Linked DNA regions of Ovis aries. The protein of the gene in region 1 purifies or fractionates together with the protein of each later gene. This does not show direct contact. Links are inferred from orthologs where the notes say so. Each region holds a gene or a part of one and is shown in the gene's direction. Other genes may lie near its edges.

Region 1 (7,451 bases):
CACACTCCACTAGGATAACATTACCTCTAAGATATATAAATATATATATATTCAAATTTCAAATTTAACACCAGAGGACTTTTCACAAAAGAATTTTCTTTAATATTTGTTCCCTCTTATTAGAGTTTTAACTAACAAAATTACTAATTATTCACTTTATCTAGAGTAGACATAAAAGTTTTAAAATTATCTTACCTTACCAATACTACTATTAGCAATAAATCTGTGATGTTTGAGACTTTTTTTGGTTCTCTTCTTTTTACCCTCAGAACATATTCTGAATATGTTCTGAATGCATTGTACCCCCAAAACTACTCAATAGGCAGAAAAAGCCAGTAGCTTGCCCTGAGACAAATCCCCATGTAAACATTCAAAACACATCTTATGATTAAAAAGGGCAAAGGGTATAGTTATTATTACTATGTGCACATCTCTCATCACATTAGGCATCTGTATAGACAGCAAAAATGTAGGAAAATTTGGGGCTACTTCAGTGAAGGGATATAACAAAAGCTAAGCTAAAGAATGCAACCTCCCATTTAACCAACATGTATAAATATATGAATTTAGCGCATAGGTTTACGCTCTGCAAAGAGTTAGTGCATTCCAAAGGCATGGCTATGCTTTAATTTTCTTTAGGAGTGAAAGGAAATAGCTGTGGCATCTTTAAACTTTATTTACTGAGTTCAATAAAATAAATACCAGGTTTAAAGAACTAAAGGTTTTTGATACTGTTGTTTTTGAAAAATAAACATGATTAAATTTTGAGTCAGAATGTTTTAAGAAAAATCCGACACTGAAAGAGGATTTTGACACTTCAAAGGAGGTGGTAAGTCAGAACACCTATTTGAAGTAGCAGGCTTAGTCAAAGCTTATACTTGCTTCAGTTTTGTCTTTAAAAATACACCAAATCATAGTGAAAAATAAATGAATACATGTAGTTTATAATGCTGCCTGGCACACACAACTGTTCTCTCTTTGTGAGAACTAATAACATTCAATATAACTTTTCTTTCCAAATATATTCTATGTTGCACAGAAGGAGAGATTAAAGGCAATCCTAAAAACAAAAAGTTATCAAAAAACTTTACTGGAGCTTATACATATTTTCCTATTCTCTGATCTAGGGGTTCATGAAGAGTTCTTATGTGGCAAACTTACACAGCTGTAAAATTTATTTTCAAGGAAGATCCTCCTGGCGTTAGTTCTTAAAATATACAATTAAAATAAGAGCAACTGTCAAAAACTACATCGTGTTTTTAACATATTTTTAATAAAGGGCATCCCCTCTGGTTTGTCTTCCCTCTTCATTCCAGCTACAGGTGGCTGCCCTCTGCAGCAGTTTCAGTTCTTACAAGTTGACTGCCACAAACCTGACCTAGTTTCATCTCTACAGGTTCTCTGACTCAATGAGGGATGTGTGCGTTTGTACAAAACAAAACAGGGAATTTTCTTTCCTGGCATTCATAGAGCCTCTTCGTGTCTCAGGTCTTTTTAGTTGTTGTAGTTTTTTTTTTTTTTTTAAATTGGAGAAAACTACATGCGTATGGGGGAAAGATTAAAAGTAGGAAGGATAATCAGTGAAAACATTTGGGTTCCACTGCAAATCTCTAGATAGATTTGTATATCCGTCCCTAAATAGTATATATTATTACACTTAAAACACATCTCTTTTTAAACATTAAGTGCTTACACAATCTGCTTATATTCAAGATTATAACTTGGAGACTGTTCCCTTGCGGGTGGCATTATATAACCTAATTAAAACCAGGAAGTGCTTATAAAAGGTATATATATATATTTTTTAATGGTAGGAAAGGCCTTTGTTTACAACGGTAAACGGAAAAGGGGAGGATACACAGCTCCTGCTCCTGGGGCGGTCCACAGCCTGGGTAACCGCCCTCGAAAAGTCAAAATAGGTTTTAAATAATCTAATCTACTGTCCAATAGGTTCTGCCACAATCTAATCAGCTTTCTGATGCCATTAGGACTTTTACTATTCTATTAATATGAAGCAGTGGTTCTCACACTCGAGCGGACATTGGTATCCCCTACAAGGCTTACTGAAATAGGCTGCTGCGCCCATCTTCAATGTTTCTGATTCAAAGGTCTGCGGTGGGTGTTGAAAGTATGTATTTATAGTGTATTATTTTTGCAATAAATTATAAATTACTGTAAAAAATAAACACCAGGCAATGCTGATGGTGCTGGGACCAAATTCTGAGAACCAGCCTCTAGGAAGAATTCTGTATTAAACCTGCCACCCAGCACCCTGAGAACCTCAGGATCCGCCGGACTGAGCCCAGACCTAAAATAACAAACGGACTCCCCAGTCCGAGCCGGAACTAACAGAAGACGAACCTACATCCGGCGCCTGGCGCATCCCAGTACGTCATTTCCTACCTATCCGCCCTTTCCCCCCTCCCACCTCGTCCTCCCCGCTCCCCGTCCCCGACCCCGGCGCGGTCCACTTCACGTCCCTGACGTGATTAAGGACCGGCGGCTTAGAGGGCACTAGGAATCACGTGAATCGAGAGACATCTCGCGAGGAGTTTTAACCTCTCGCGAGACTTCACCCGCCTCTTCTATACCTCTTTCCAGTCCCCGGCTTTGGTTCTCCCCAGTTCACTCCCGGCTGAGACCCGAATTTCTAGCCCGGGTTAACTAGTTGTCGACGCGGACTGTTTTGTTGCTGCTGCTGTTGCTGTTGCTGCCACCGCTGGGCTCATTTGCCCCCTACCCCTTCCCGCCGCCACTCTCCCAACCCCACACAAGGTAACGCGATGAGGGAGACAGTGAGGCCTCGCTGGGCCTCGACCTCTCACGAGTTGAACCGGAGGCCAGAGGCCGAGGCCGCAGTGGAGACGCGCGGGCGCCGGCCTCCTCTTCCACGCAGAGTTGAGCCCAAGCGTCCCTGAACGGGGTTGGGCTGGGCGCGGGAGGCATCTTAAGGACGCCCTCGGCCCTTCTGTGCGGAGCCTGTTTGCGGGTGGGGCTCCGGTTCCTGGGGCCTCGGCTCCGTTCTTGTTTTCGGTTTCCTTGGAAGTTGTTGGAATTTCGAGGTCTGAGATGGTCGAGCTAGTTGTGGCGGGCTTTGAGGTGTAGGGTGACTGAAGGGAAGCAGCCTGGCTTGCACCAACCCTTTTGAAGTACTTCCAGGTTCTGGGCTGCGGTTGGCCGGGATTTGTTACACAGACCGGTCTCGGAAACCCTGTACGTTTGCTAATAAAGCGAGAAAGAATTCTCTCCGGCCTTATTTTCAGGAGAAGTACGAGCTGGATTTAGTGAAAGGCCCGTAGTTTAGATTGCCTAAATTGGAGAGCATCTGTGATGTTTCTTTTACTGCAGAAAAATACATTGGCAGTATTTTAAGTGACTGCGTGAAAAGATTTTTGCAGTGTGGAGAAGTTTCTGAACACACGCATTATAACTCTTGTGGAGAAAGTCGTAGTTAATCCAAAAGCCATTTATATTTGGCTTTCGAAGTACTTTTTAGCCCTTAAAAATTGGAAGCCTCAAATCTTTCAACAGTTTAGTGCCTTCTATTTTAATTTTTGGTGATGTGATATAACAGTCCTGTTCCTTGAGCCTAACACAATGTCTCTTCCCTGTTAATAGTTTAAAGAAAATTAGAAATTATTCTCCCTTTTCCTCTTATCTCGTTTTCTGTTTCTATATGGAATGTATCTTACATGTTTATAATCTTCAGAATACTAGTAGTAATAAATTATGCTGCAGTGAATTATGATGAGTTGGGAACAAAATGGGTAAGGGTTAATTCAGGCCGACAGGAAAAAAATGTTTCTCTTATGTTTTGTTTTTTTGGTTCTGTTTTCATGACTTTATTCTTTATTTTCACCAGATGTCAGAGGATCTAGCAAAGCAGCTGGCAAGCTACAAAGCTCAACTCCAGCAAGTTGAGGCTGCGCTGTCTGGAAATGGAGAAAATGAAGATTTACTAAAATTAAAGAAAGATTTACAAGTAAGTATGGGGCAATACATAATAGCTTCATTGCTTGAAAAGAGTATTTCTGTGGCTTATAAGTGGCTTATTGCCTAGAATCTATGGGTACCCATAATACCTTTGGAGGGAGTGTTTCTCCCCTTCACACCCCTTGTGTGTACATGTGTGCACCCACAGAGGCATACTTGGCTTCTAAGAGAAGGGTTGCTTCCTCAGTTTGTGTACATCAAAACAGCTGAAACATTGTTCTTTGTTGTGTCATCCTTATATGCTCTTATAATTTTTAAAAGTAAGAGCTAAAAAAATAAAAAAATTAAAAAAAATAAAAGTAAGAGCTAATAAGTCACTATCACTCTAGAAAAAGAGGTACATATAACTTGACAGTGGATAATGTTTCTGTTTGTAAAGACTTGGAAAAGTAATTTTACTTCAAAGGGTAACTAAAATTAAAAGAGGAAAATATAGCTTAATCAGATTATATCAGATTCTTTTCAGTGCCACAAGATTTCTTTGAAAATGAAATAGAGCACCCATGCCAGAGATCCTGTGTGTGTGTGTAAGTGTAACAAAGCTAGCTCTAGTGCCTGTGTTGAAAACACATTATAAAAATGCCTAAAGAGATGTTTGTTTTCTGCATAAATGTTACATAATGTTTGAACTTAAGGCTAGGTCTTATATGTAATTATTGACACTTATTAGCAACTTGAAATTAAACCGAATCTATGTAAAAAGACGACCTGGATTTAATGTGTTCCTTTTGTCCTGGAAGAGCAGTAAGTATGAAACCGGCTTTTTAAAACTTCCTCTGGGGTTTCAAGACAAACATAAAGCCATAGAAGTAAATATCTATTATTTCTCACAACCCTAGGTTGATTAATAAAAACACCATATATAATATTTGTAAATATCTATGGCTTTTCATCTAATTCTGAATCTGATTTTTTGGAGAGTTTTAAAAGATGTTTTGATTAGATGACTTATCTTCACTGATTCAAAACAACTCGAATCATCTTCATACTACATATCATTTCTCTCTGTTTATATCAGCCTCTTGCCAATTAAAATGATCAATATTTTAGGGATAGTAGAACTGCAAACAAGCAAAACTTATTTGAAATGGGGTCCAGATTCACAATTCTAAAAGCCTACCTGGGCATAATTTAAATGAGTTGAATATTTTTAGGTTCAATTTCTGGATTTAGGATAGATGTGCGTGAAGTTGCAATAGTATGTTATTTAAAAACAAACAAAAAAACAGAAACCAAAGCCTCTCTTCAGTATGTAGCAGTCAGGTCAGTGGATTTCAGGGAGCTAGTCAGTAAGAAAAAGATGTTTTGGGAGCAGTTTCTCCCATCTCAGGCCAACTTTCTGCTTGTCTTAGAGAGCCTGACCTACCCCCATCTCTCTCTCTCTCTCTCTCTCTCTCTCTCTCTCTCTCTCTCTCATTAAAAACCAACTTAAAAGCAGTCCTTTTTTCCTTTGAAGAAAGTGAAACATTGTGTCAATGTTGTATACATTGCTTCCTATATTTAATTGGCAGTAAGAAGGAGGGGTATATGTGGAACTGGTGGAGCAGGGAGTTGGGAGTGAAGACAGCATTATTATGAGTCTTGGTATTTTAGTATTTCTGGAATATATTTCAGAGTCTGGGCAGAATTGTGTTAGGACATGATCTATAGTGGAAGTACTGTAGGGAGGGAGACCATTGCTGTAGGCATTGTAGTAACCAGGTAAATGGCTTACTTAGGGTTCAGTTAATAATGACCTGGAGGTCATTCTGTAAAATATTCTTTTTTAAATAACCATTTTGAAAGACATTGTCCAATAGAACTTTCTGTGGTGATGGAAGTACTCTATATCTGCTATTTAATATTATAGCTGCTAGGTACATGGGGCTGTCAAATACTTGGAATAAGACTAGGATGGCTGAAAAACTGAATTTTTAATTTTAGGTAACCATATGTGGCTACCATATCAGATGGCACAGATTTAGAAGTGCACGTTCTAACACTTCAGTTAGCAATAACAGAGAATGTTTTTCCCGACCAATCTTGACCTCAAATTCTTTTCCTTTCATGGAAAAAAAGCAGTCATTTTGGTTACTAGATACAGGTTTGTTTTTGAACTGAAAACTACTCAAAGATGGAAAACATCGTTTAATATTAGAGAAAATTCTGAAAAATATTTTGCTATCTGCTTCCATCTAGTAATTGTTATCTCCATTGACTATAGCTACAGTTTCTATTTTGTCATAGGTTTTTGTTTTTTAAAAAATCCTTTTCCTTCCTTGCTTTCTGGGATATGCCTTGGGCCATTGGTATTTAATTCTATCTTTTATATTTGCTGAAAAGTCTTCACAGACTGATGACCGAGTTTGTAGTCTCCTTTATTTTTTTGTGTTGCTTTTATGGAATATCCTTACTCTGGTTAATAATTTGTTTGCAGTTTCATTTATGCAGAATCCTTTTTCTGCATTTTTTCCAGTGACTTTCATTTTGCCAGTAAGACGTCTATGTTTATCTCTTAACACACTATCTTTCATATAAAGTTACTCAATAGGCAGCAAATCAGTCTTCTGAAATCCTAATTTGTTTTCTTTTTTCACTTTAAAGAAGTGAGTTTAGTAAAATCCAGGCTAGCTAGTTGACTAGCTCCCCAGGCAGTCTATGATAATCACAAAAATAATCAATTTATTAGGCTGTTTTGCTGAATAAACTGGTTCTAAAGGAGGCAGGGGTCAAGTCACTTGTCTCATATATTACAGTGGCTCTCTGCATCCCCGAAACGCCTTCCTTCAGTAAGCAGAGTGCTTGAGTGCACCCCCTTTGACCTGCTGATATGTAGATCACAACATCTGATGCTTCCTGGAATTGCCGATAACTGTAACTGCTGCCCATCTGTCAATGAAGGAGCAGTTTCAGAACTCAGACTTGGGGGAGGAAAAGTAATTAATGGTATGTACCTTTAAGAACTCCCTCATACATGAAATCATATTTATAATACTTTGGTCCATATGCACATGTGAATAAAAAAAAGACATTTAGAAGGGTCTTCATAATTGTTGGGGGGGAATGTACAACATGGCAAAGTGAAAAGACAGAAATAAATGCTCTGGATTTTTTTGTGTCTTTTCAGTGCAGGGCCTTGGAGATTATAACTGCACAGCTTTTCAGGACCCTTCTCTTTGGTGAAAATTTATTTTCTTATGAAAACATAGTGGAAAGATGTTTTATTCTAAGAGATCTCTAAATATTGAGATCTAAAAACACAGACTTCATGTTTGTATATTAGTAGTCCAATGATCCCTAGTTAAATGGATTTAATGCTAGGAATTGCATAGGCTTTTGAGTCAGACTTACTGGATTACATTCCTAGTGCTAAAAGTGGTTAATTAAAAATAAGACTAGATAATTTATTCTCCTTCTTTGTGTAGTACATCATCTATTTATTTGGACATCCCTTGCTTATTTGCAAAGGATTATCTAAT
Region 2 (6,567 bases), on another chromosome or scaffold:
TCCGGTCCACCCCTACTGTCACCTGGAGATGCCTCGTTTCTCCTGTTTCTCCTTCCTCATCCCTGTGTGCCTGGCCCAGCATGGGCCCTCAGCCATTGGGAGACAGGTGGTGAAGCCAGGGCTGGGGCGGTGAGAGTGGGGAGAGGTGAGGCCAGGCCAGGAGGGTGAGATCTCACATGTAGTCTCACCAGCTGCCCCTTGGCCTCCGCAGGTTTCTCCCCTGGTCTGACAGAGTGCCCAGGGTCTCACCATGGACTTCCAGCATCGCCCCGGGGGCAAGACCGGGAGCGGGGGTGTGGCCTCCTCCTCTGAGAGCAACCGGGACCGCCGGGAGCGCCTGCGACAGCTGGCCCTAGAAACCATTGACATCAATAAGGTGTGCGCCCACCTGCCCACCCTAAAGCAGCAGCTCAGCGCCCTCCAGACCATGGTCTCCCCAGGCCTGGGGTTGGCCTGCCTGCTTCTCTCCTCTGCCCGCGCCCAGCTTGTACTGCAGCACGAGGAGCCCTGTCCCGGCTGGGGAGTTGGAGGATCAGCAGTGCACCTTCGGCTCTGCCTCTTCCTAGATCCCAGGCCACCACTAATGTGGGGCTGGGGGCTTTCAAGGGAGCCCTCTCCGGGGCTTGCTGCAGAGGCGGGCGGTCAGCCCCAGCCCTAACCCCGTGCAGTGGACCCTGTGGGATCCCAGGGGCGGTGGTGCTGGCTTGGGGCTCCAGCTTGTCCTCCATCCCTGAGCGTCTCCCCCACTGCCTGACACATGTGTTTCTTCTGCAGGACCCCTACTTCATGAAGAACCATCTGGGCTCCTATGAGTGCAAGCTGTGCCTGACGCTACATAACAATGAGGTGCGTTTTTCCCAGGGAGGTACTGGCTTTAGAGCCCCGCTGTGCCATCTCCGCCCTGCACGGCACTGGGACAGCCACCGTGGGGTCCCTACCTCCATCTGTCAGTTTCCTGTAACATCAGTGGCTCCGACATCACAGATGTGCATCTGTACATGTGGGGATGTCCAGGATGTCCACGTGGGGCGAGAGGTCTGGAAGGCATGGCTTCTAGTTTGAGTCTTTAAGCAAGTGTCAGTCGGATGCTTGCTTGCATTGGGTTCCTGTCCTTCGCCATAAGCAGGTCCTCTCTGTCCTTTCCTGTGTAAGGAGGGCGCACTTTCTGTCCAGATGGTTCGCAGCTCCAGACAGCTGCACTGAGCTGAATAGTCTCGTATGGGAGCATCTCCCAGCGGTTTTGAGGCTCCCCCTTCTCTTTGGGGGACCATCCTGGACATAGAGTCCCTGGAGGTCAGAAAAGCCTCCAGTTGGAAACTGCTGATACACATGTTTTCTTCTTGGGACATTATTGAGGTGGAATCAAAGGGCATGTTTATTCCAGGTGTCCCCACCACTGCCCAGCAATATCCACTGGCCCCACCCACATCCTGGCAGCCACAAGACTGCTGTGTCCCCCCGACCCGAGACTCTCATCTCTGGCTTTTGAGCATCTCGTCCCCCTGTGTGCAGATCCACGAGAGCTCATGTGTTCAGTAGCCACCGGGTGCCCGTCAGCACTGAGCCCTGTGGATGGAGGCGGGCCCGGGTGGGACACCGGGCACCACTCCCTCACTGTGCCCTCAATTGCATGTTCCTCTCATGTTCCAGGGGAGTTACCTCGCGCACACCCAGGGGAAGAAACATCAGACCAACTTGTAAGTACCTGGCACCCCTTCCCATGCCTGCTGTCCCCCTCACCTCACATCTCCAAGGTCGGCCGGGGATGGGCGCTCCTGGCGCCTGGGGCTGTGGCCTTGATGGCCTGTGAGGAGGGGCCTCAACACTGTGTCCGTCCCACCTGCAGGGCCCGGCGAGCAGCCAAGGAGGCCAAGGAGGCCCCCGCCCAGCCAGCACCGGAGAAGGTCAAGGTAGAAGTGAAGAAGTTTGTGAAGATCGGCCGCCCAGGCTACAAAGGTAATTGTCGATGCCCTGGGTGGGCAGTCCCTCACCCACCTCCAGCTTCACCAGTGGCCTCAGCTTCCATTAGAGGCTTCCTGCCCTGAGGGCGGGGGCCTTAGTGTCTCCTCTGCTCTTTATACTCCTAGCAGAGGTGGGTGCGAGGGTGGGAGGGGACTGCAGGCCCTGGTGTAGTCCTTTCCTCTGACCTTAGAACTGGGTGCTGGTGCCTTTTCACATGGAGAGAGAGTAAAGGAAAGAGGAGGCTTACCTGGGCCAGCAGCTGCAGAGGATCGGGTTGCCAGGGAGGAGGGGAAGGCAGGCCTCCTTGCAGGTGTTCTTGCTGAAGTGGGCACACCCTGTGTATGACTGGCGTTTCAGACAAGACATGGCTTGGGAAGGCCCTGGAGTGGTCCAGCTTGGTGAGCCAGGGCGAGGATGGCACTACCCCCAGGGAGGCCACCACAGGCCTTTTGGTCAGTCTGGGTCATCTGGCCTCTTCCTGGCTGTGTCAGGGAGACACTAAGTGCCTGAGGGCGCATATGAAGGGCCCCGGAGCTGTGTGGAGAGCAGCCCAAAGCCACAGAGCTAGACTGTGATGGGCACCCGCTCCCAGAAGGTCTGGTGGAGGAGGGTGGGCAGTGGGGAGCCCACCCTCTGCCCCCACCCAAGTGATATCAGGCAGGTGGCACCTGGGGCACAGCCCTCCCACCCTTGGGCCAATGACTGCTAGTTGCCCAGCAGGGTGACCTCCCCCCACTTGCCAAGCCAGCTCTCCCATTCGTGGGTGACATTAGGCCAGTCCTAGGACCCCGTTACTGGACCTGACATCCTCCTGTGTTGCAGTAACCAAGCAGAGAGATACAGAGATGGGCCAGCAGAGCCTCCTTTTCCAGGTGAGCAAAGGCCGGGAACCCTTTGTCCTGAGGGGAGGGGCCCCTGAGAGGCAGTGCTGTCACTGGCCGTGTCCCTGCAGATCGACTACCCTGAGATTGCCGAGGGCATCATGCCCCGACACCGCTTCATGTCTGCCTACGAGCAGAGGATCGAGCCCCCGGACCGGCGCTGGCAGTACCTACTCATGGCCGCTGAGCCCTATGAGACCATCGCCTTCAAGGTAGTTTGCTGGGACCCCGGAGGGTCCTGCAGGGTCTGCTCCATCCAAGCAGCTGGCCCCAGCCCACACCAGGCGCCCCCTCTGGGCCCTTGCCTCCTGAGGGTTGTCAGAAGACGATGCAGAGTGAGGGCAGGGGCTGGGTGTCCACCGTGAATCAGACCCTGGCATGGCCCTAGCAGTGAGGTGGCCCTGTTACCAGGCTGTGCAGGACTCTGACCTGGTCCAATTCTCAGATACATGTTAACGAGACAGGGTAGGTTGCAGCTTCCCTGGGTGGCAGGGCTGCTAAGCAGTGGAGCAAGAATGCCAGCTGTCACCCCCACGTCAGACCCTGTTCCCTCATAGAAGGGCCTCCTGGGCCAGGCCATTTCATGGTCCTGAGGGCCTGTCTGCCCCTCTACCCCGCACAGGTGCCAAGCAGGGAAATAGACAAGGCTGAAGGCAAGTTCTGGACTCACTGGAACCGGGAAACCAAGCAAGTGAGTCAGTCCATGTCCATGCAGTTCCCCATCCTTCTCCCACCCCAAGGCCTCTGGGACCCTACTCAGTTTTTCCTGTCTGTCCAGTTTTTCCTCCAGTTCCACTTCAAGATGGAGAAGCCACCAGCCCCACCGAGCCTTCCTGCTGGGCCTCCTGGGGTGAAACGGCCCCCACCCCCACTGATGAACGGCCTGCCCCCTCGCCCGCCACTACCAGAGTCGCTGCCTCCGCCCCCACCAGGAGGCCTGCCCCTGCCACCGATGCCGCCCAGTGGGCCTGCACCCTCAGGGCCCCCAGGCCCTCCTCAGCTGCCCCCACCGGCTCCTGGGGTCCACCCACCAGCACCGGTGGTCCACCCACCAGCCTCTGGGGTGCATCCCCCTGCTCCTGGGGTCCATCCCCCAGCTCCTGGGGTCCACCCCCCGGCACCAGTGGTTCACCCACCAGCATCTGGGGTCCACCCCCCTGCTCCAGGGGTCCACCCTCCAGCCCCAGGAGTCCACCCTCCTGCTCCGGGAGTCCACCCTCCAGCCCCAGGGGTCCATCCTCCCCCATCTGCTGGTGTTCACCCCCAGGCACCAGTGGTGCACCCACCAGCTCCTGCAGTTCACCCCCAGGCTCCGGGGGTGCACCCGACTCCTGCCGTTCACCCCCAGGCTCCAGGGGTCCACCCACCAGCTCCTGGGGTCCACCCACCAGCCCCTGGGATCCACCCCCAGCCTCCTGGGGTCCACCCCCCTCCTCCTGGGGTCCATCCTCCGGCTCCTGGGGTCCATCCTCAGCCACCTGGGGTGCACCCCTCAAATCCTGGGGTGCACCCCCCAACGCCCATGCCCCCGATGCTGAGGCCTCCACTGCCCTCCGAAGGCCCTGGGAACATTCCTCCCCCTCCCCCCACCAACTGAAAAGCCACCCCCATCCTAGCAAGTCTGGTTTGGTTTTCCTGGGTTTCGCCCTCAGAGTAGAGTTCTTTTGTACTGGGCTGGGTGTCCTCAGAGCTCATTAAAGAGTCTGCTGACCCTGAACTGGACTGCTGTGTTAACCTGTGGGCGGTCAGCTTGCTGTGGGTGAACACACGTGACTGCTTTCCACCACCATAGGGGGTGTCAGGGTCCCACCTGGACCACAGGGGGTGGCCCCTGCTGTCTCTGCAAGGACAGACCCTGTGGGCCAGCAGAATGTGGGGTGGTTCTCTGGGAAGACAGCAGAGCGAAGAAGGCTGCTCACTCTCCTTGGGGGTCTCTGTGGGCCTCAGAGGTAGGGTGAGCGAGCACGTGGGGTCACTGGGGGACAGACCTGCCTACCCGATGTGAAGCGTCATCCCCCTTGGGGCTGGCACCTGAATCCTCCTGGGGCAGGGGCTCCACACCTTGCCCTCCAACACCCCCAGGTTGTTGATAGTCTGACTGTCTGGGGCATGCACTCCTGCTCACATTCCTGCTCTGGGGAGGGGAAAGATTTGTCAAGGACAGTCTGACAAATGGGTCACAGGCCACACACACTGTATCACTGCTCAGGAGATAGACAGGCAGGTTGGAACAGAGGGGGCTTTGAGAAGGCCACAGGCCTCCCAGGCTCGCAGCAGGCACCAGTCTCCAAGGTCATGTCCCAGGAGGAGATAGGGACTGCCCTGTACCACAAACAGCCCTGCTCCCCTTATAAAGTAGGGCAGCGCAGCCCCTGGAAGCTCCCAGGATGCCCGGTCCATCTCTCTCTCTGGCCCTGGTGCTGTCGGCCATGGGGGCTCTGCTGAGGCCAGGGACCCCCAGGGAAGAGGTCTCCAATACCTCAGCCTCGCCCAGGGAGCAGGCCACAGGCAGCGGGACACTCATCTTTCAGCAAGGCTGGGACTGGCCACTCCCCAGTCTCTGGCTGCCAGGCAGCCCTCAGGACCCCCTGTGCCTGGTGACCCTGCATGGGAGTGGCAACGGGAGCAGGGCCCCCCTGCGGGTGGTGGGGTCCCTGAGCGGCTATGAGCAGGCCTTCCTGGAGGCTGTGCGGCGCACCCACTGGGGCCTGAGTGACTTGACCACCTTCGCTGTGTGCCCCGCTGGTGACGGGCAGCCTGTGCTGCCCCACCTGCAGCGGCTGCAGGCATGGCTGGGGGAGCCCGGGGGTCGGTGGCTGGTGGTCCTGCACCTGGAGGAAGGTATGTGTTGTGTCGGGGCTGGGGTGGGAGGCCAGGCTCTAGTGCCCTCCTCCCAAGAGCAGAGGACTGCAGAGCCCCCAGCCCAGACCCCTCCCCAGTCTCAGGAAGTGGAGGCTAATGGCCAGAGAGGTGGGTCACTGTATCTTTGCTTGTTTGGGGCCAGAAGTTCTCCAGCTCCCAGCCACCCCTCTCCCCATGCAGTGCCTGGCAGAGGGGGATGTGGGGGCTAACACCTTGTTCACCTACCTGGGAGCTACACAGTGGGGGATGGAGGAGGGAGGCAGGTCAGTGCAGCCTGATGGTCCAGCAGAGGAGTGCCTCTCCCTCCACACTGGGTAGCAAGAGGTTCCTGTTCCAAGGGATCGCTGTCCTCAGACCCACTACCAGGACTCCCCCAGGAGCTCTCCAGGCCTAGAGCCCCCAAGGGCTGGGGAAACACAGGTGGCAGCCCCACTGCCCACCCTATCCATCACTTCTAGGCCACTCCTGTCCCAGAGAAGCCAGGAGCCAGCGTCAAACCTCTCACCAGGTTCCCCCAGGCTTTGGTTGGCGTGGGGTCTCCTATGGAGGGGACAGGCTTAGGGGAGGTGCTCAGGCTTCGGTGGCTCAGGTGCCTCCCTTCTTCCTTTGTCCTGGCCGCAGTGACGTGGGAGCCGACACCCTTGCTGAGGTTCCAGGAGCCTCCACCTGGAGGAGCCAGCCCCCCAGAGCTGGCGCTGCTGGTGTTGTACCCAGGGCCTGGCCTGGAGGTCACTGTCACCGGGGCTGGGCTACCAGGCACCCAGGTACCAGGGAGTGGAATGTGGCTCTCTCAGGCCCCCCAGGCCCCCCCACAGAGCAAGGGAGGGATTATGGGTTTGTGTTTGTGTTGTTTTTAACTTGG
Region 3 (6,962 bases), on another chromosome or scaffold:
GGGATCAGTTGTAGCCAGGAGGTGTTCTCTGCCAAGTATGCTGAGTTTTCTCTGTATACTTTGGAAAGAGATTTGTCAGGGCCCACTTGCCATTGGCTGAGCCCAGCATTTTCACCAACCATATCATTACTGCTCTGTGGTTCCTACTGACCAAAAGCTGATATAATTATGTGCTAGAAATCTTTATTATATATTTTCATTCCTGGGGACAAACATGAATTTTTTCTGAAATCTCTGGGAGAATTGGACCATCTAGTTTTAGTTGGTGTGTTTTTTTTTTTCCTTTTTGCTCTGCTCTTAAAGGCATTTGATTCTCACTCATACATGTTTATAAGGGGCCACCCAGCACCTGGTACACACACACCTCGTCTTACTGCACTTTGCTTTCTTGCACTTCTCAGATGGTGCAGTTTTGTGTTGTTTTTTTTTTAACAAATGCAGCAACTCCCTGCATCAGGCAAGTCTACTATTGCCAGTTTTTATTTTGTTACGGTGGTCTTTGATTTTTATTACTACCAAGACTCAGATGGTGGTTAGCATTTTTTCGCAATAAAGTTTTTTAACTAAGACATGTGTGTTGTCTTTTTAGACATAATGGGATTGTGCACTTAATAGACTACAGTATAGTGTAAACATAACTTTTGTATGCACTGGGAAACCAGGAAGAATTGTGGGACTTGTTTCATTGCGATAATTGTTTTACTGCAGTGGTCTGGAACTGAACCTGCAATATCTCCAAGGTATGCCTGTAATTTAGATGACTCCCTTGCCTTTGTTCTAATCCTGGGTCTTAATAAACATCGTATTGTTTTTCCAGAAAGAGACAAGCAGTGCCCTGACCCATGCCGGAGCCCATCTTGACCTCTCTGCATTCTCCTCCTGGGAGGTATGTTTTCTTTAGCCTGTGCTGGTCTTGCCTGTTCACGCCTCAGAGGGGTCACTTGATCTCCTAACGCTACAGACTTATTACGGTAAGACACAAATCCTTGAGATAAGCATCTACGAAGAATATAGAAAGATGAAAAAAAAAGCTTATCCAATTTCTTTGAACACTGTTAACTGAAAATTAACCATCTTAAGCTATAGTGGAGGTAGTGGAACACAGCCAGTATGGTTACGGATGAACTTAATCACAGAGTCGGTCCTTTGGAGAGTTGGAGCATCCTGCTAGGAGACTGGCTATGGAATGTGTGGTCTTGCCACTGTTTTAGGAACACCCACACACCAGCCTGCAAACCTAAGTTTGAGCATTTGTTGCTTCTCCAAGTCTATTTATATAAAATTGTAACTTGTTTCTTTCATATAGGAGTTGGCCTCCCTGGGTCTGGACAGATTAAAATCTGCACTCCTAGCTTTAGGCCTGAAGTGTGGCGGGTAAGAGACTGATTTTTCTATCAGAACTGTCTCGTTTACTTTGAGTTTCACAATCTTCTCCACACTGCAAAGAGAAGCAAGCCTAGATGGTAAAGTAATCCTGAAATCCTTTGCCCCTGTGTCTCCTTAGGACCCTAGAAGAGCGAGCCCAGAGGCTATTCAGCACCAAAGGAAAGTCCCTTGAGTCACTCGACACCTCCCTGTTTGCCAAAAATCCCAAGACAAAGGGCACCAAGCGGTAAGTGGCGGGGAGGGGGCACCTCTGCTTACATTTTAAGCTTTTTATTCCCGTGCAGAATTCATACCACATCGGAAATTTTAAAGCCCATTTTATCACCGCTATTGATCCATCCGGCTCCAGTCTGCTCTTTTTCTCTGCTAATGGCAGACAGTTCTCTCATCGTTACTATAAACCAAGGACAGTCTGTACTCAGGTGTCTGAGAGTGGGTGACGTCTCTAAAGTTGAAACTGTACCCCGGGTATCTTTTGTTACCTCTGTAGGTTATAGAGGGTAAGTTGGTTCAAAAGTGTTCGTCTAAGTGCATTTTTGCTAGTAACAGTTGAATCTGTTCCTGAGCCACATGCTTGTACAGGGTATTTTTTTTATATGTGATTTTGCTAATTCTCAAAACAAGCTTGAAAAGTATTTGTTATCCTCATCTTTGACAGATAAGGACTTAGAAAAGTTATACCTGTTATCTCACAGTTACTAAGTAGCAAGACTTGGGCCCAAGTCTGCCTCTTCCAGAGCTTGCCCTTCTGTACCACATTTCCTTTGTATAGGAATTTAAATACCTGGACATGCCTTTCACTCTCTAGAATGAGGTCAAAGAGGAAGCTTCTATGCATTCTAAGAAATAATCTCGAGAAAAATGCCTGGCAGTCCAGTGGTTTAGACTGCTCGCTTCCACTGTAGAGGGCTTGGATTTGATTCTTGGGAAGCTAAGATCCTATAAGCCACATAGCATGGCCAAAAATATTTTTTTAATTAAAAATAAATAAAGATAACAAGTCCTGAGCTGAACAGAACATTTGCTTTCACAACGTGATGTTTCTCTTGTGCTTGTAATTTTAGATGCTCCTATGGAATAAATATTCCCAGATATAGAGAACATGGCATTGGGTGAAAGAACCCTTAAGTGATACAGTTTGTTTCTTATTTCCAGAGACACTGAGAGGAACAAAGACATTGCTTTCCTTGAAGCCCAGATATACGAATATGTAGAGATTCTTGGGGTAAGTGACTCAGCTGAGGGCTGTAAATGCTCCAAGTTGTGGAAGTAAGAAGCTATGAACTTGTAGGATATTTTTTACGATTGCAAGAGAAAATGCATAGATCAAACTACTGTAGCCGAAAATTGTGTTCTCCCATGGTATTTAGCCCTTCACTGAGGTCCTGCTCTGTTGTTAGGGGTCTGTTGTTAGGTGACATTCCTAGGTTTGCTCAATCCCCTGAGGCTGGGTGGGAGAGTAGACTCCCCTCTCCATGTAGAATCCAGATTCTTTCCCTGAGCTCCAGAATAGAGCCAGGGGTGATCCAGGAAGCAGACACTCAAAAGGTGTGTAAGATGTGACTAGAGTCATCTGTTGGCTCCCTCTTTTACACCTGCTTTGGATAAAAGGAGGTTAGCCAGACGTTGGATACGTGGGATACTTATACTCTCCACAGGGAACTAGAACTGTGCGAGTGTGGGCAGCAGTCTGAGTTGCCAGTCCTCTGAAGACGACTGAGGCTAATCTTTGCCCCTGACATAGGTGTGCCCACAGCAGCAGGTCTTCATGAATGACTTTCTCTGAAAAGGCATAACTTACATGTTCACAGGGTTGGAGCAACTTACATGGTACTAGGTTTGGAGGTTAGTGGTGCAGAACTGGCTGTGAGCTGCTCCTTGAGTATTTTTTCAAGAAGAAGCTGAAGAGGGTTACAGGTACAAAAAGGCCTACCCAACCAAGATGCTTATCTTAGAGAAAGTTGGGGGAGGAGCAGGAGAAAATGATTCTCTTTCAGGGAAGAGAAGGTGGAAGATGGTCATTGTCTCTGGGAGTGCTGCAGAGAGGACCAGCCTTTCTGAGTGTCTGCTTTGTGCAGTTTTCAACTGCTCTCAGAGCCTTTTCCTTTCCAGATGCTCACATGGTGCTTTGAGTAGGTGGCTCTGGTTCAGATAGCTGGTCCACATGTCTTTGTCTCTTGCCCTTGTTTGATGACCACGTGTATAATAACTCATAAAACTAGAGTCATTGTTGGATCCCACTGTTACAACTCCTTTGGATGAAAGGGATTAGCTAGACATTGGATATGTGGGATACTTATACTCTCCACACTGAACTAGGACTGTGCTAGTGTGGGCCCTTGGACTGCAAGGAGGTTCAGCCAGTCCATCCTAAAGGAGATCAGTCCTAGGTGTTCATTGGAAGGACTGATGTTGAAGCTGAAACTCCAGTACTTTGGCCACCTCATGCGAAGAGCTGACTCATTTGAAAAAACCCTGATGCTGGGAGGGATTGGGGACAGGAGGAGAAGGGGACAACAGAGGATGAGATGGTTGGATGGCATCACCGACTTGATGTACATGGGTTTGGGTGGACTCCGGGAGATTGTGAGGGACAGGGAGGCCTGGCGTGCTGCAGTTCATGGGGTCGCAAAGAGTCAGACACGACTGAGCGACTGAACTGAACTGAGTGTGGACAGCAGACTGAGTCACCGGTCCTTTGAAGACAAATGCGAGGCTCATCTGTGCCCCTGACATAAGGTGTGCCCACAAGTCCTACCTTTGAGAGCATTTTGCTTTCCCCGCCAGGAGGTGGCACTATTCTCCTTGGAATTCCAGCCAGTTCCAGCCAAAATGAGTTCCAAAAGTTGATCTTGTTATGAATTGGTATTATTTTTACCATTGCTTCACCATTTACTGACACCTGTTGGTGTCCAAATATTATGCTAAATCTTTGAATGCAGTCGTGAATGTGACATAGCCTCTTATCCTTGAAAAGCCCAGTTTGTGACTGAGGGCTACAGATAACTGCAGTATAATGTGATGTTCACTGTAATACTTTGAGATTGGGTGTTCTAAGTATAAAGAGGGAGATTAAGATGTTCCAGGTGGAGGAAACAGCAAGTATGAAGGTAAAATTACTGTGAAAGGAAATAATGAGAAAACAAACCATTGTCCCTGGGTATGTCTGGTGAGGGATGGTGTAGTCAGAGAAAAATTTGGAAAGTTATTGTATGTTGAGAGGTTGGACCTTGTCCTTTAAGTAGCAGAAAGCAGATTAAAGTGTTTTTAAGCAAAGTGTGCCACGAGATTGGTTTTCTCCAGCAGATAAATCTGGGGACAGCATGGAAGCTAGACTGGAGTGAGGACAGACTCGGGGCAAGTTGGAACGTTGTCACCTTGGTGAGGGCAATAACAGTGGGAAAGAGAAAGGAAGACTGATTCAGGGAACGGTTTAGGGACAGAAGAGAAAAGACTTCTATTGTTCTGCGATTGTCTGTGGCCTCAGATGACTAACTAGGCAAGTGCTAGGTTTAACTTTTTCCGTTTTTTTTGTTTTGTTTTTACTTTTTCCTTTAAGATCAGGAAAGGTCTGCTGAAGAGGAATTCTGTTTGAAAGCAAGACTTTCCTTTTGTTGTGCAAGAAAGAAAACTTGATCCTTAAAAATGAAGGATCAACAAAGGTTATAGGAAAACAGGAAATTTCCCTTTTTGTTCTGCACTCTTCTCTCACCTCCCCTTTCATTCATGGCCCTGACATAGGAGCAGCGACATCTCACTCACGAAAACGTGCAACGCAAGCAGGCGAGGACTGGAGAAGAGCGGGAAGAGGAAGAGGAGGAGCAGATCAGTGAGAGTGAGAGCGAAGACGAAGAGAACGAGATCATTTACAACCCCAAAAACCTGCCCCTGGGCTGGGACGGCAAAGTCAGTCCTCCGCTGCCCTCTTTCCCCCTTCTCTCATTTTGGCAGCACATGCAGACACTGGTCTAATACTGTTTTTCTTTTGTCTCATTTCTTTTAGCCCATTCCTTACTGGTTGTACAAGCTTCATGGCCTAAATATCAACTATAACTGTGAGATTTGTGGAAACTATACCTACCGAGGTCCTAAGGCCTTCCAGCGGCACTTTGCTGTAAGAAATTTGGCGCTTCTCCTGGACATGGAAGCTTGAAACATGAGTCTTTTAGAGAAGAGGATAGGAGCAGCCTGAGAGGATCCCTAGCCTCCAGAGCTAGAGCGAATCAGAGGAGTGGACATAAAGTCCAGCATGTGGCATTTGGCTTCTGGCAGCAGTGCCAGCCTTGGGTTGCACCTGAAACGGTTTCTGGAGGCATTCCACTATTTGAACCATGTTCCGTTTTTTCTTGCTTGCCCTTCCTGCCTTTCTAACTCGTTGGTCATTTTTCTCTCTCCTGTTGCTGGTACTCAATACCAAAGAAAGGGCTGACCGCCTCCTTCTTTGGGTCTTAAATGGGCCTTTGCCTCTTGGGAAAAAAAAAAAAAAAGAGGATGACATTTATCAAGCTATTCTTGAGAGAAGGCATTATGTGGGTGGTACTCCAGTAAGTGAATTCAGCCTTGTTTTGTTTCTACCTTCAGTTCTCAGTACTTGGAGGGAAATTTTACAGAATAGAAGACATGCTAGATGTAGCCAAGAATGGAGAATGTGTGTGAATTCCTCTTTGTCTTCCTCAGATGTGCATATTACTGATTCTGGGGCCTTTTCTGCCGAACTCCAGTAGTCTCTAAGTCTTTCTCAGTACCACCTCCAGTGAATTGGAATTGGCATCCAGGGCCCATGCCATCTGCCATCCCTGAGCCATACTGTCATTGCATCAGCCCCCTCCTTGGTCTCTTTCATATCCTTGCTTGTACCTGATGAACAGTCTTCTCCTTTACTTCTAAAGATGACACTGACTTGCCATCAGTAATGCTTACACATGCTGGTGGGGGGGTTGCATAGGAGGGAAGTGATGAGTTAGAGTTGTGGTCTTGACACAGATTTTGTCTGGATCTAGGTTTCATAAACCTGCCCAGTGAGGCAGACATACGGTGCTGCTTTGAAGTAACTGCCTCTTGTCAGTCATAGCCAGTTGTCTACAGACAGGAACCTCAAAAGTTGAATACTGCCTTTCGGTGGAGCCTTTTGCAAAGGATTAGGGAAGGTTTTTGAGTAGGATGGGGTTAGTGCTGTGTGTCCAGTCAGTCCTATTTCATGCTGTCCTCTTGCTTCTCTCCTCCCAGGAATGGCGCCATGCTCATGGCATGAGGTGTCTGGGCATCCCAAATACTGCCCACTTTGCTAATGTGACACAGATTGAAGACGCGGTCTCCTGTAAGTAATTATTTATTTTTCCCGAGGCCAGGGCGACAGTTCACTGTCCCAGTATTGTCGTGTGTCCAGGCCTAAGGGCAGCAGGTTGTGGTACATACAGACTACTACAGTCCTATAGTTATTGCTTTCTCAGGGGATGGATTAGCCAGGAGTACTGATTCTTTCCCCCTTGAGAAGAGCTCTGTGCTGAGTATAAAACTGCTTTTAACTGGGTTCTGTGAACTGGGTATGCAAGATTTTGAGTGAATGAGTGTATGTG

What was found. Proteins that work in one complex are often made in the same cells at the same time.
Region 2: the proteins of SMNDC1 (region 1) and SF3A2 purify together in Homo sapiens (affinity purification with mass spectrometry; 4 studies listed by BioGRID and IntAct, with this or other methods). This does not show direct contact. The link is inferred for Ovis aries from reciprocal best matches to the Homo sapiens genes SMNDC1 and SF3A2.
Region 3: the proteins of SMNDC1 (region 1) and SF3A3 purify together in Homo sapiens (affinity purification with mass spectrometry; 3 studies listed by BioGRID and IntAct, with this or other methods). This does not show direct contact. The link is inferred for Ovis aries from reciprocal best matches to the Homo sapiens genes SMNDC1 and SF3A3.

The regions. Positions count from the first base shown.
Region 1 is NC_056075.1:30,416,163-30,423,613, reverse strand, and holds the start of SMNDC1 (survival of motor neuron-related-splicing factor 30), read left to right. Parts: upstream 1-2,566; 5' UTR 2,567-2,775; intron 2,776-3,862; coding exon 3,863-3,982; intron 3,983-6,728; exon of another isoform or gene 6,729-6,915; coding exon of another isoform or gene 6,916-6,918; intron 6,919-7,451. UniProt on the Homo sapiens protein: Involved in spliceosome assembly.
Region 2 is NC_056058.1:19,187,611-19,194,177, forward strand, and holds the end of SF3A2 (splicing factor 3A subunit 2), read left to right. Parts: intron 1-211; 5' UTR 212-250; coding exon 251-376; intron 377-774; coding exon 775-846; intron 847-1,650; coding exon 1,651-1,697; intron 1,698-1,846; coding exon 1,847-1,956; intron 1,957-2,784; coding exon 2,785-2,834; intron 2,835-2,914; coding exon 2,915-3,055; intron 3,056-3,465; coding exon 3,466-3,534; intron 3,535-3,621; coding exon 3,622-4,440; 3' UTR 4,441-4,560; downstream 4,561-6,567. Other genes in the region: AMH (muellerian-inhibiting factor precursor), read left to right, coding at 5,231-5,684, 6,327-6,469. UniProt on the Homo sapiens protein: Component of the 17S U2 SnRNP complex of the spliceosome, a large ribonucleoprotein complex that removes introns from transcribed pre-mRNAs.
Region 3 is NC_056054.1:12,721,220-12,728,181, reverse strand, and holds part of SF3A3 (splicing factor 3A subunit 3), read left to right. Parts: intron 1-817; coding exon 818-886; intron 887-1,306; coding exon 1,307-1,374; intron 1,375-1,504; coding exon 1,505-1,612; intron 1,613-2,541; coding exon 2,542-2,611; intron 2,612-5,127; coding exon 5,128-5,292; intron 5,293-5,389; coding exon 5,390-5,500; intron 5,501-6,612; coding exon 6,613-6,703; intron 6,704-6,962. UniProt on the Homo sapiens protein: Component of the 17S U2 SnRNP complex of the spliceosome, a large ribonucleoprotein complex that removes introns from transcribed pre-mRNAs.